2 linked regions of the Tamandua tetradactyla genome follow. The protein of the gene in region 1 interacts with the protein of each later gene in a biochemical or structural test. Links are inferred from orthologs where the notes say so. Each region holds a gene or a part of one and is shown on either strand. Other genes may lie near its edges.

Region 1 (7,513 bases):
GAAGTCGATAGCTTTACATACAGACCATTTTAATGACCAAGCACTAATAGATCATAAAGAGCAACAGAAGTAGCCTGATGGATCAAATCACATTTTACCACCAATGGCTTGGGGTACCTCAAACCTGGGATTAAATGAGCCCTGCCACCGGTTGTTTGGTGGTAGAATGCTGGCCTGCCATGCTGGAGACCAGGGTTCTATCCCCAGCTCATGGACCCCTCCATCCCATCAAAAAAAAAAAAAAATTAGCCTCCCCACTTTAGAAACAGCAAATACCAAACAGTTCACTAGTTGATTGCAGTTTCAGAAATTATGTGGAAAAATCTAATGTCTACCGTGGCAGAGAGCCCATGGCTCAAATATTTCTTCTCCTTGGTTTATGTGTGTGTGTCACCATCCAAGAATTGTTTACCTTTTAGTAAAGGGACATCTCTACATTAAAGATATAATTGAGTAACTACAGTTCAAAAAGCACCTTGAAATCAAAGGCACTCTATAAATTTAAAATACTAGTTGGTATTAACTTAGAGCAAAGAGCAGTACTTTTAAGCATCTTGTAGCCCCAGATTATTTTAAAGCAAATAAAAATTTATTGTGGGATTTGCCTTTTTTTTTTAAGTGGTTTTTCCTCTATGATGAAACATGGATAAAATGAACTGTTAAACACTTAGTCTAAAGGTATGCCAAACATTTAAGGTCTTACTTAACAAAGAATCAACTACTTTTTTTTTTTTCAAACACAAAACGAAGCCTAGGTTAAATATTTTATTTGGCTTCTCAAGATGGACTGAGAAGTTGGGCACCAGCTCCAGACCAATTCCTGGACGCACATCAAACACAGCCCTGTCATTTATCCAGTCAGTCAAAACAATCTTTTCCATCTAACCCTTTAATGTTTATGTCCTAAAAAGCTTCTAATTGAATGCAGTTCTTGAGATCTGTTTGTTAAAATCTATACCATCTAATTTGTAAATGATGAAAATGAAGGAAATATATATATATATGTATGTTAACTTTCCTGGCAAAACAGAAGAGAATCCACCACATGTAACAAAAGTGAGGAGAACATCTTTTTAAACTTTGTCATATTTTAAGACAAAACCATTAGGAGATAAATACCCACTAGTTTTAAGAAATTAAGAGTACCTCAAAAATTAAGGAGACTAACCAAAGACACTGTGTGCTTAAAATCTAAAAATACAAAATTACTTTCTATAAAATCAGTCCGCAGCTCCCTTCCACCACCCCCTTAATATAAACAAGTACAATCTTGCCTCCTCCTAATAAACTTTACTTGTGAATCTTTATAATGTATCATATACAGTAAGGAAACCACAGAAAAACACTAAGATCTATCTATTCAGATTTAAAACCTCACTTTATCTGCAGAAAATCAAAATCGCTGTTTTCTCCCTCATTTTCATTGTATGAATATACGCTAAAGAAAGGAAAGTAAATAGGCAAGAATCTATTTCTGATGCTTTTTAAAGCATACCTGGAAGTCACAGGTTCTTTCTATAATCACAAGCACAGGATTGACTCCAGACACTGAACAGCAGTAGATAAACTCTAAAGCAACAAAGGTCCCTTATAAAGGTTTCCAGTGACCCCTAAGAAAATAAGGAAACTGAATGGGAGGAAGGAGGGAGATATGCATTCCCCAATCCAGGTTTTCAATTAAGAACCACTCAGTTAATAATGCTTGGTAATTTTCCCTAGGGAAAGTAAAACTGTCATGAAAGTGATGTTATTTTAAAAATTACAGCCAACTATATTTAGGCTACTTTATCAAATACCAAATTCACCACAAGTTAGTTTTTATCTCAAAAGTTCAGCCAGTGGACTGGGATGTGACACACTAGTATTCAACTACAAAATTAGTCCAAATATATCTCAAAGTCTAGTATAAGCAAAGATAAGTAATTTATTCTTACACACACACACATGTCCTGTAAGGAAAACCATCTTTCTCACCACACATGGAAATATAAACGTGGACAACTTATTAATGGGGAATGGTGACCCAGGGTAACCATACTGATTTCAACTACACTTTTCAAACCAAAAAAAATGTTTCCTTAAAAGGGTAACATGTCCCTATAAAAATAGCAAAACTGGCACTGCAAACAAAATATACCTGTAATGTTAAAGTTTTATGCACCTGGACTCACAAACACTTTTTTTTTTTTTAAGAGTAACAACTATCTCACAACCCCTCCCGAAATTCTTTTTGTACTGGCAATCTTCAGAAAAGGGAAGGGGGGTAGAGTGGGTTGAGACAAAGTTCTCTTGAAAGTTTATAGGCGCACATACTTACAAATTTAATTGTTTAAGACATGTTTTTAAAGCAGATCTAGAGTTAGAAATGAGACACAAGTTCCGCGGCCTACAAGGAACAACCCAAAACATGCTAACCTACAATCGAACACTTTCAAAACACAGTGGTCAATGAACCTGAGTCGTCGGATCAGGAAGACACTCGGGGAAAGTCAATCTCAGCCTCCTTCTTCCCAAAACTAGGTTCATTTACCGGCTGCTGTGGCTAGCAGCAGAGAGTAAAGGCATATTCACGCGGGCGTGTTGGTGTACAAGTTAACCAGGGAACGAACGCACACACACGCACACACACACACACACACACACACACACACTCCCGTTAAGCGCTCCATCTTTAAGGAGTGTTTACTGCGCACAGTCAGCGACCGGATTCAATAATCCCCGCCACAGGAGCGCCTCATCCCCTCAACGACCCCACCTGGGGAGCAAGCTAGGAACTACTCCCCCAGACTCAGGGAGAAGTAGGGATCCTCGGCCAAGACTTTTCGACCTCAAATTCGCAAAGAATTCAAACCGACTTACCCCTCCCCTCTACGGAAGACCCCCGGGTCACCCTTGGCTTTCTAAAGAATTTACAATCAAGAGCGAGTGGTTTTTCCGACTACTCTCCCCTGACCTAGGCCTTCCCACGCCTCCGGTCTCCAGCTCCCCGCCGATCGCGACCCTGGCCCTTCCCAAGCCCGCAGGCACCCCCCGTCGGCTCGCCCGCCCCGCGGCTGCCCCGGCCTGGGTCCCGCCGCCCGCCTCCCTCACCTGTCAGGCGCAGCTTGACGGGCCCGTTCCTCCGGCCTCCGGGGTTAGACATGTCCCCGGCGGCGGGGGTGGCGGCGGGGTTGCGGGCGCGGGGGCCGGGGCCGGCGGCGGGCGGGGCGGAGGCGACGGCGAGGCGCGGCGGAGTCACCACAGCGGCCGGGGCTGGGGCCCGAGCTGCCGGCGCCGCGGCCGCCGCGGCCGGAGGGTCCCGGATGTGCCGAGCGTCGTCGCCATGAGCCGCGGAGGGAGCGGGACGCCGAGCTCCCCCCTCCTCCCACTTCTCCTTCCTCTGCCCGGGCAGCACAACAAAGCAGCAGCCGCGGCCGGCCGCGCCGCTTCTGCCAGCGCCTCCAAGCAGCCGCCTCTGGCCTCTTCCACCTTTCGGCTCGGCGAGGCCCAGGATCCGACGCGGATGGTCGGCTGAGGCGGGCGGTGCTCGGTGGCGGCGGAGCAGAGTTTCGGGGCTCAGGCGCTTCCTCCTCCACCCGCCCTCTTGTCTGAGGGAACCGGGTCCCGGGGCCGCCGCCGCCACTAGTCGGCTTGGGGGGCGGGGGGGGGCGGGGGGCGGGGCTTGGGGGCGGGGCGGGGCCTGGGCGTGCCGAGCCCGGGTGAGGGCGGCGGGGCGGCGGGGCGCCGCTGTCGGGGTGGGGGTTCGCTGGAAGGCACGCTGTCTTTCCTCCTGGGTCCCACGCAGAACTTGAGGAGGGAGGAAACAAAGGAGAAAAGTGTTGGTGGCGGCAGCTTCGTGGCACCAGGAGGGACCTTGGTGTCCAACTCCCTTAAAAGACGAGAGCTTTTGTTTGCGAAAGGCGGACTGCACTTATTAGACTCCCCACTACTCTTCCAGAGGCTGGGACGAACAAGGTTAGAGCCGGGAGTTCTCTCCGGGAATTTAGCATCCCTCTGGCGAAGGAAGGAACACTTATTCCCACACCGAGGGTTCCAGCAAATCCCCAGGGGTCCTTCGCTTCTGGTATTGCAGTTGCCGCCGCCATCCTGGACTCACCTGGTGTACGAGATCAGGTTACCTACCTGCTCCGGCTCTTTTTCCAGTAATAGTTCAAGGATAGGTCGATGGTAAAGACTTAAAGGATTGTTAACAAGATAAACCTTGGGGTGCAATGTATGAAAAACTTTTCATACAGAACTGCATTTTTTCAGGAGGATAAAATAGAAAATGAAATAAAAATATGTGTACCTTACCCTTTGATCCATTAGTCGCACTCCTAGGAATTTGTTTTTGAAAAACAATTCTGAAAAAGAGAAAAAGACTATACAGAAGATGCACTTTGCAAAATTCGGTTAATAACGAAAGAAGGGGATGAAGGATCAGCGTAATGGTAAATTATATTAAGTCAACAGGATAGACTTTATGCAGCCACTGAAATGACAATTGTGAAGGTCATGTAACATGGAAGAGTTTAGAAATAATGCAAAGTTTAAAAACATAGTTTAAAAAGCTGCATGTATACATGCAAGATTATCTGTGCACAATGAAAACAAGAGTGACTGAAGTCTCCCCAGTTGTGTGGGAGAGGACTCCCAGGGATGAGCCTGGCCTCGCATGGTGGAATCAACAATGCCATCCTGACCAAAAGGGGGGAAAGAAGTGTAACAAGGTATCAGTGGCTGAGAGACTTCAAATAGAGTTGAGAAGCTACACTTGGAGGTCATTCTTACCTAAGCTTCAGTTAGACATTACTGCCTACCATAACTTGCCAACCCCCAACCAAAACCATTCCAGCCAATCCTAAAGAACCTCTGGGGCGGGATATAAGATTCTACGAAGGTTCCATGCACTTAGGGTACCTTTCCAAAAACCTACAACCTGCAAATGGATCTCTGGACCAGATAAGTCCTGAAATGCAGAAGGCCAGCTTCTCCAGAAAATATAGTTCCATTCCCCTACCCCATATTATCGACAGCCCCTTACAACATGAAAAAGTTAGAATGGCCATAGCCCAGGTACCCCGAAACAGTGGGAGAAAGATCAAAGATGATGGTGGAGTTATACAGAGAAGGTAGGTTTTAACAAATAAGTACGATTGCTGAATCACCCTATTGATATTTTAGCCTCCAGTATCTCAGAGCACCTAGAAGTAAAAGCCTAAAATGGTGGAATCGTAACCCATACCAAACTCTGAAATCTGTACTACAACTAATTGTTGTGATGTGCTTTGAAATTTATTGCTTTTATGTACATATGTTATTTTTCACACAAAAAAGAAAAATATATATTTCTTCTAGCCTCCAGTGTTTTGGAGCAGCTAGAAGGAAAAATCTGAAATAGTGGAATGGTAACCATAACAAACTCTGAAATCTGTTCTGTATCGACCTCTTGACATATACTTTGAAAATCATTGCCTTTTCTGTCTTTTCTTTGTATATATGTTATATTTAACAATAAAAAGGTTTAAAAAAAATAGTGACTATGGGTTGTTTTTTTGCATGCTTTGTTAATTTTCCAGAAACTGTTGAAGCATCTATGCTATTTTAAATTTAAAGTCTAATATATTTTAATCCTAATTCAGTCCGTCAGCCATTGCTTTTAATTCACCAATGAAGTCACTTCATTTTCCAGATGAAATCTCATCAGGCTTACACTCCTTCCATTTAAAGTGATCCAAATAATTATGCAAAGTTCTAGAAGTCAAACTAGAAACATAAAGGACAGTGCTAGAAATTCATTCAACAAATACTGCGTGCCTACTATGAGCAAAACAGTGAACAAGTTCCTTTAGAAATGTTTTTTTTGTACTATAAAAGATCTGAAGCGACACATTCAATTTGAATAGCTCATATCACAATTTAAGAGGCTGGATAATGGCAATAAAACTTAACAAATGGACGTGTACATACACATATGCCTTATCCTTATGACACACACTTTGTTCCAAACACCCACTAAGGTAATTTGTATTAAATGATAATAGTTAGGATTCCAGAACCTGGTGGGGGAGGCCAAGAGAGACATAATTTATTGAGAAGTTGAAAGCAGTACATTCACAGTTAATGTGACAGTGACGACACAGAAAAATGTATACATGCATAATGTGCAGAGGAGGACTCTGTTTAGGCTTGCCGCTGTGTAAATTTAAATCCTGTTGTTTAAAACAGAAGATTCAGATAAGAATAATACTTTAAACCCATTCAGTATACTAGTAATAGTCTTTCTCTTAAGATGAGTACACAGATGTGCATTTAATTATTATCCTTTTTCTTGCCATGTTAAATACTATTTGACACAGGTTTTAAATACTTAATAAAAATAAAATTAAGTAAAATTTTCAAATGAAGTCACATAAATGACAAAATAAAATAGATTAGCACTAATTGGAAAATTACGTTGAATGCATCTCAGCTCAATGGCATCAGCTAGCCCAGAATCAGACTCCTGAGATTGGGCATAATGTCAGAAGACTTTCAAAAAAATACATTTATATGTTTCCCCCTTTGGGACATGTTTAAAATGTACATTACAATGTACATTACAATGTACATTTTGACAGGGAACTACCAAAATCACAGGGAGAATTTAAGAAGGACAAAGAAGAAAGTGAACAAGGTGGGTGGGCATTGGGATTCATATAAAGAAAAGACACATGAAGATAAGGCCATTTTCTAACTCCCAGCAAAATATTACTATGCCATTCATTCGTTCAATTCAAGGCCCCGAAGATACCGAAAGGGAAGAATATTTAAGTTAGTATAGTAGAAGAGACTCTTTCCACAAAGAAAAAAGAAAGAAAGATGGGGAAGGCTCTTATTACAACCAGGACTGAATTTGATAAGCGGCGCGTTTTAATCTACGGCTTCCCAACGGAGCTGCTTATGTGGGGTTGAAAATACAGGGGCCCATGCTCAGCCCAGACCTACTGAATCAGAATTTCCTATGGGTCTAGCGGAGGAGCTTTTGTAAAAAGCTACACAGGGGATTCTGATACATAAACAGGTTTGGGAACCGCTATCCCAGTGATTCTCAAACTTTACAGTTTATCAGAATCACCTGGAGAGCTTGTTAAACCCAGACAAAGTTCCACCTCCAAAATTTCTGGCTGAGTTGGTCCGGGGCGGTGCCTGAGGATTTGCATCCCTAACAAGTTTCCCAGGTGATCCAGATGATGCTAGTCCTGGGATCACACTTTGAGAACAATTACATTATCCTAAATCACCCAGAGGAAAGCTCAGCTTTCATTAGATTAAATTTCAGCATTAGATGCACAGCATTGTCTCCATCATGGCAATAGTTTCAGAAAGATTTTTGAGAAAATAGGGAGAAAAAAAACACCCTTTGCTTCACCCTTTTCTTTCCTCTTAAAATTGAAATCCACTTCCAACATAAATTGTACCTGTACATGCCTCTGATTGGGTATGGAAATTGCAGAAAATATTTTCAAAGATGTTTTATTCCCTTGTGATTTCT
Region 2 (7,420 bases), on another chromosome or scaffold:
CTGTGTGAAAAAGCTGCTACAAAACAAGGCTTCTGGAGTCCTCAGAATCGAAGCCAAACAAGAATAAGGAAAGCTTTTAGACCCAAAGGCCAAAATTGAAAAGATTTGCAAAATGTAAAAATTCACTAAGTCTCCAAACAGCAGTTTACACAACTAAACTGAATGTTTTCCACTCAAACGAAAAGTAATGATATTACAGCAACACGATTCTAATATTTACAATACGAAAATTTAAAAAGCACCTTTTGCCAAACCACCTTTGTTCCCATTAAGCAGTTTTGTTAAAGTGGATGCTTGAAACATATAAAGCCATCCCCAATTTTCCTACTTAAGAGGAATACATACCAAACCTGACTACCCTGCATAGTTCTTTGCAAGACTAAGGTGTTGGTAAAAAGTATAAAAACCAAGCTCTTGGGCGGTGCAACACTGGCTCAGTAGCAGAATTCTTGCCCGCCATGCCAGAGACCCAGGTTCAATTCCTGGAGCCTAACTATGCCAAAAAAAAAAAAAAATAGCACTTCCTGAGAATTTCTTACTAAAACAAGTTTTAAAATGGTTGTTTCAAATCACATTACATTAATTAAAAATGGCCAATGAATTTCTCTAAACTCAATTACATCCAATAGATTTTAACATTAAGAATGTTATGTACTTCAAATGATGAATGGATGTACTGTAGACTACTATTCAGCAATAAAAAAGGAACAAAAAACTGATAACATGACTCTCAAATGTGTAAGCCAATGAAACTGGACTAAAACAGCTACATAACACATGATTCCACTGACACGACATCTGGAAAAGACAAATATTATGGGACTAAAAAACAGCGTAGTGGTTCAAAGGGGTTGAGGCTGATTTATAAAGGTGTAGTATTAGGGAATTTTTTAGGAGTGATGGAACTACTCTTTATCTCGAGTGTGGGGGTGGTTTACTACAAGATACATTTGTCTAAGTTCACAGAACTGTACACCAAGAAGAGTGAATTTTATTATACATAAATATTTTAAAGTAAATTAATTTTTTTAAATTCAGATAAAATAAAAGACAATGAACTTCCATTCTCATTCAGGTTAAAAAAAATAAAAAGAGGGCGGACAACAGTGGCTCACTGGCAGAGTTTTCGCCTGCCATGCCAGAGACCCAGGTTCGATTCCCAGTGCCCGCCCATGTAGAAAAAGTAAATAAATAAATAGAATACAGGTGGACACTCTTCTTAAAAATGCTCAAAGACATACACTATTTTTATTTTCTACAAACTACAAAGCAAATTTCATGGTGAAAACCAAGAAACTCTAAAAATTTACTTTCTGAATTCAATGTAAAAACTGTGCTAAATTACCTTTTGGTGGAGGAAATCCTTTAAACAACCAATATAATTTCCTAAGGCAAATGAAAAACTCTCAAACTACACACATTTACAAAATCCATTTTCGCTTATACCTCCCATCTCTCGGTTATATTGGCTTCACTTATTCACACATGAAAACTGTTCAAACTTCATTTAACTATTAATCTTCTATGTAAGTGGGAATTTTTTTAAGGGGATCAAAACTCCAATAATAGCAAATGTACTTTCGGCTTAATAATAGCAGATTTATTGTCTTCTTAGGTTCAAAGAAAACATCGGTACTATCAGTGATACAGGTTCAATTCAAATGTCAGAAGGGAGAAGAAAATGAAAAGGAAACAATATTAAAGTATCATTTTAGAATTCTAGAAATTCCATTTTCTGGGACCATTTTTGAAAAGATGAAATTACTTCAAATAAGTTTGCAAGACTATTTACTTACTTATTTATTAACAATTATTTTACATATGTAGTTCTAAAAGTTAAAACACCAAACTAGTATACTTCAAACTGTAGCAAACAAAACATGATTTTGATGGACGATTCATTTTACCCGGAGACGTTTTTTAAATAAAGACAACAAAACTGCAGTATTTGGATTTTAAAGAGTCAAGAGAGGAACGAATAACAAAACCAACCTAGGTATTGTTTTTCTTTTGTTTGGGATCAAAAGGAAACCATAACCGCATAAAAGTAAAGACAAAAGTACGCGACCCAAGGGCAGCACTCCCCTGAAGAGAAGAGATTAAGGTTGCAATTTTGAAAACCAAGTTTCAAATACGTGAAATCAATAAGCCTATTTTTTAAAGGCATGTGCTAAAAACTAATAGCGTCTACTCACAGAGCAACTTCCACAAGTGAGTAAAAAACGATCTCGACAGATTAGCCGTGTGCGTGTTCTTGTGAGAAGAGTACCCAAGAGCCATTCAGAACCCGAGAGTATTATGGTTAACAAAGGTTACAGGACCAGGAAAAAAGTGGACGCAAAGTAACACACGGTCCTAACACGGCTTCACAACTCCTGAAAGAAGAGAGCTATGTCCCTTCGGCTTTAAAAATCAGAACCGCAAACCATCAAGTGTGTTACGAGTAGAGGGGAAAGGACACGATCGGCCCCCGCCCCGGACCAGGCTGGGCCGGGAAGCTCCAGTGCGCCGAGCTGTAAGATTCGGTCCCTGCCCTCTCTGCTTGTCCCTGGCCCCCCTGGTATCCGCACTCCGGAGAGACCGGCGCACCCACTGCCCCAGCCTCGCCACACCCCAACCCCCAACCCCCGTGGCCATGTGACACGCGAATTTCACCGACCCAAGCCAAACACAAACACACCCCTAGCCCCGAGGGCCCACCAGGAACCGAGGCTTTACCTGGACGGAGGCTCCAGGTCCCGCCCAGTGAGACTCGGGGGGGTCCGGGACCTTTTGTTCCTTCCTCTTCCGAATGGGATGGAGGGGGCTGGGAGGGGAAGAGGGGAATGGTCGACGTGAGGCGGAACTGAAAACACGCTCCCCGCCGCCCGTCTTCCCGCCCCGCCCCCCCCACTCCCCCGGCCAGTGCCCCGCCGGCAGCCCGGCGTGCGCGGGGAGGGGTCGCAGGGCCACGGCCGCCGCCCGCCAAGGAGGGAGGAGGTGGGGACGCGCGCGTCCCGCCGCCGCCCCTCCTCCCCTCACGCGCGCTCCCGTATCCCTCTCACGGGCCATCGGGCCGGCCGAGCCCTCCCCCGCCGCGCCCGCCGCCCCACCTCCGCTTCCGCCCTCCGCCCTCGCGTCGCCGGCCGCAGCCGCGCTGCGTACCCACCTCCCGGCGGCTCGCTCGGCGCTCGCTGCTGCTGGCTGGCGAGCTGCTCCTCCGCCGCCGCGGCCGCGCGGGTAGACCCGCCTCCCACCCCGGGCCGCGAGCCCCGCCGATTCGCCGGCACAGCCCCGGGGCTGGCACCCTGCCGCCCGCTGATTGGCGCCCCCACCCGCCTGTTAGGGCGGAGGAACGCCGGCCGAGTGGAGCGCTCCGCGCGCAGAGAAGACGGAGGGAGCGGCGGAAAGAAGGAGGGAGGCCAGGCGCCGAGGGAAGAGCTAGGGGCGAGCAGGGCACGGAGAGTTGCGGGCCACTACCTCCCCACCTCCCTTCCCTTCGGCCCTCCCCGCCCTCGCGACTGGACCGGCGGCCCACGCAGCCAATGAGCGCGCGGGGTAGCCGGGGTGTGAGCCGCGCGTCGGGTGGCTTGAATCGGAAGGGAGACGTCGCTCGCTGATTGGTCCCGCCTCCCTCGTAGAGCGTGAGGCGAGGCGCGGCCGGGCGGGCTGGGGACGAGGAGGGGTTGGACGCAAGCGGTTTCGGCTGATTTCGTCTCCGGCACGCTCCCAGAAAAGACTCCAGGGAGGGGAGGGAGGAAGTAGAAGGCACGTAACCTGCCGCGCTGGGAAAATAATCCCGGCGACCACCCTTCTCTCTTCGCCTCGGCCCCGGGACCCTTTCCGCCCTTCCCCAGCTTCATGGGGTGGGCCCTGCTTGGGGGCCGCCGCCTGGTGCACTTTCCTTAGTTAAGCCGGGAGTGGACACGTGCTCATTTCTTGGGGAGGCTGGGGCCCGCCCTGAGGCTTGGACGAACACGGACAGAAGCGGGCTAGGAAGAAAACCCTAGGATTCGGCCAGCGCCTGGACACACCCACAGGCGAGGGAGTGGGCGGGGCCCCTCGTGCTGTGCGGCGGGGGCGGAGTCCGAGTGTAAATAAACCGAGAGCCTGGGATGCCGTTTGCGTTTAGCGTGAGGGGGCCAGGTGTTTTCCTTTAACCTGAATCTCAGTTTCATCCTCGGTAAAAATGATGCTACTAATGCACTCTCTGTGCAGTCTTTGTGAAATCTAAAAGATAAGTCCCCGGCACGATGCCTCAGAATTGTTGGGTTTCCTTGCCTTGCTGTTCATTTCTCCACTGTTCAGGCGCTCCTTCCGTAGTGCTTTCAACTGAGATATTCCTAGGCCAGACTTTAGCGCTTCTGCGCTACCGAAGGCTGCAAAGTTCTTAGGCTGCACACTGCCCAGGACTGACAGGATTTGTCTATTGCTTAGGGACACCCAAACCTCGGCTCACGAAAATATTGAACCTAACACAATACGTCAAGTATTTCTTAAGCGCCTCTCTCTTAATTGGGGAGCACCGCAGAACTAAAGTTGAAAAGAACCTCAGATCTCACAAAAGTGGCAGAGACAAGACTAGAACATAGTTTTCTTGGCTTCCTGTCCAGCACTCTATGTTATCATTCATGGATTTAACTGGGAACTCAAGCGGAAAAGCATCCGTAGCAATACAAATCAGTAATCAAGAAGTACCAAAGGAGCATTTCAAACACTAAGCGTTTTGAAGGTGTACTCTTTAATCCCAGAAATGAAGGCTACTCGGAAGTAGGGGCCTTCAGCTGGACCTGGAGAAATGTTTAGCCGTTACTTCTCTGAGTCTTACAGGTTTTCCAGAGTTCCTTTCAAAATCTCTTTCATTTCCACCACCTCCTCATGCGTGGAAGTACTTTTCTCATGGAAACGTAGTGACGAAGAGCCTGAAACCTGGAGTTAAATTGTCATTTTGAGTACAGCTCTGTTCAAGTCTGTAATCTTTGAGAAGAAGAACTCACTTGCAATGATATCTACTTAAATATAATTGTGTGATGAATAAATTAATAAATATGAAAGTGAGTAGCATAGTGCTTTGAAGTTAAAGTCAATAAATATTAATTTTCCTTCCCTTCTGTTGCCTGCATGTATTTATGCAAAGATGAGCCTACTCAGTAGAAATCCTTCCTCCAAAAATTTACTAACAGGGTGGTATCTTACGCTGTTAGTTTAGAGGCAGCTTGACTCAGCCCTTATTAAAAATAGCTAGTGAAAGAGACCCAGGAAGCCAACTGGTGGAGCAGTCCCACCTATGCCTTGTTTCCAGCGGCCACTGGGGAAGTTGGTCTAGGGCAAAGGGAGGCGGTTAAATGACAACTAATACTGGCCGTTCAATTTTGAAATAAGGTAGCTTGTTTTTTGGTCCTTCTTCCTATTAATGCAAGTCAACAGTTTTAATATAAAAAAGCCTTAAAAAGCTGCCTTGCCCTCTCTCTAAGCCAACTCCAGGTGAACTCATTGCCTTCCCCCCCTACATGGGACATGACACCTAGGGGTGTAAATCTCCCTGGCAACGTGGGACAGGACTCCTGGGATGAACCGGAACCCAGTATCATGAGATTGAGAAAGTCTTGTTGACCATAGGGGAAAGAAAGAAATGAGGCAAAGTAAAGTTTCAGTGGCTGAGAGATTTCAAGCAAAGTTGAGAAGTTGTCCTAGGGAGTATTCTTATACGTTATATAGAAATCCCTTTTTAGTTTATGGTGTATTGGAGTGGCTGGAGGGAAGTACTCTGAACTGTTGAGCTGTGTTCCAGTAGTCTTGATTCTTGAAATGACTGTATAATGTTAGAGCTTTTATAGTGTGACTCTCTGATTGTGAAAGCCTTGTGTATGATGCTCCTTTTATCCAGGAAATGGACAGATGAGTAAAAAGAAATTATAAAAAATAAGTAAATATAGGTGGGATAAGGGATGAAATAAATCGATAGATTGAAATGCTAGTGGTCAATGAGAGGGAAGGTAAGGGGCATGGGATGTATAAGTTTTTTCTTTTTTTATTTCTTTTTCTGGAGTGATGCAAATGCTCTAAAAATGATTATGGTGATGAATATACAACTACATGATGATATTGTGAGCCACTGATTGTATACTATGTATGGACTGTATGTGTGAAAATTTATAAAAGTTTTTTTTTTTTAAACTGATGAGTCACATGAACGGTCTCTCCCATGTTAGCAGGGTATGGATTTCCATGTCCACCTGGGTGAGTAGGGGTAGGAACAAAAGTAAACCTGGCTAGGACCCCAGAAGAATCTGTTCCAAGTATGGGGAGGAGAGAAAGGGGGAGGAGTACGTTAGTTCAATAGGTAATATGCTTGAGGTCTCAGTTAGACCATTTCTCCAAAGTGTCAGATTTTGGGTTCCAGCTCTTTCTAGAAGGCCTTCTAGGATTTGTAGGATTGAGGAAAGAGGATGAGAGACAATCTGGCTACCAATGCAGTCCCCAAGGGTTTAGATATGGTAGCATGTCAACTGTCCTCTCTGCTAGAAACATCTAAACCAAAGTGGGTCAAGACAGGAACTGAAGTAGATGGGGCAGGGATTGCCATGGCAACAATCAGCTTGGAAATTCACTAGGGTACTTCAAATCTCTTAGTAGGTCTCTATTGTATAAATTATATTGAACGAGTCTTACTTTTATATTTATAGATACCAAGCTTAACCCTTCATTGTGCATTACACTGCAAAATCAAAATCAATTCAGACTCTATTTACAGGTAGTTGAATACACTGGAAAGACGCGAGAAAAATGGTAATGGTGATTGGTTTTCAGAAAGAGCCTGAGAGTCATGAGTGGAAAACTAAAATTTCATCATTAGTTCTTCTGTAGTGTGATTTGTTTTTTAAACTGTATCTCAGTGTGGTTCATTTTCAAAAGATATAATTCATATCTATTTCCTCTATGGTAAATCTCTAAAGCCCTTCCCTGGCTTCCCCAGCCCAAACTTATATCACCTCTGAACTCTTTCTTATGGTCAGAATGGTGTACATGACTTCTCTTTGATTAATGCCTTGATCTGTTAGTTTAGTCTTGAGCAGCTATTTAATTTTTCATGGGTGTATATTTTGTCTCCCCATTTAGATTATAAATTCCTGGAGGACAAGGACAGCATCTTATTCTCATCCTTATTAAAATGCTCACTAATTGAAGAAGGTGAAATACATCATTTGTATAGCAGAAAAATGCTGTATATCCTCGGTCTGCAACATCTTCCAGCGTTCTACACAGTTTTGCCTCATCCTTACTGACCCATTTGTTCATCGTAGTGGAAATTGTTACAGTGAGCATTACTATATCTTAAGGAAAGATCCAGGTAGTTCTATTGAACTGTGTTCCAATAGCCTTGATTCTTGAAGATGATTGTATAATGATACAGCTTTTATAATGTGACTGTATTATTGTG

Evidence for each region.
Region 2: the proteins of SMURF2 (region 1) and SMAD2 form a complex in vitro, tested with the Homo sapiens proteins (3 studies listed by BioGRID and IntAct, with this or other methods). The link is inferred for Tamandua tetradactyla from reciprocal best matches to the Homo sapiens genes SMURF2 and SMAD2.

What each region holds. Positions count from the first base shown.
Region 1 is NC_135332.1:5,950,637-5,958,149, forward strand, and holds the start of SMURF2 (E3 ubiquitin-protein ligase SMURF2), read right to left. Parts: upstream 3,192-7,513; 5' UTR 3,143-3,191; coding exon 3,091-3,142; intron 1-3,090. UniProt on the Homo sapiens protein: E3 ubiquitin-protein ligase which accepts ubiquitin from an E2 ubiquitin-conjugating enzyme in the form of a thioester and then directly transfers the ubiquitin to targeted substrates.
Region 2 is NC_135344.1:35,188,661-35,196,080, reverse strand, and holds the start of SMAD2 (mothers against decapentaplegic homolog 2), read right to left. Parts: upstream 3,249-7,420; 5' UTR 3,149-3,248; intron 3,085-3,148; exon of another isoform or gene 3,045-3,084; intron 2,904-3,044; exon of another isoform or gene 2,807-2,903; 5' UTR 2,719-2,806; intron 1-2,718. UniProt on the Homo sapiens protein: Receptor-regulated SMAD (R-SMAD) that is an intracellular signal transducer and transcriptional modulator activated by TGF-beta (transforming growth factor) and activin type 1 receptor kinases.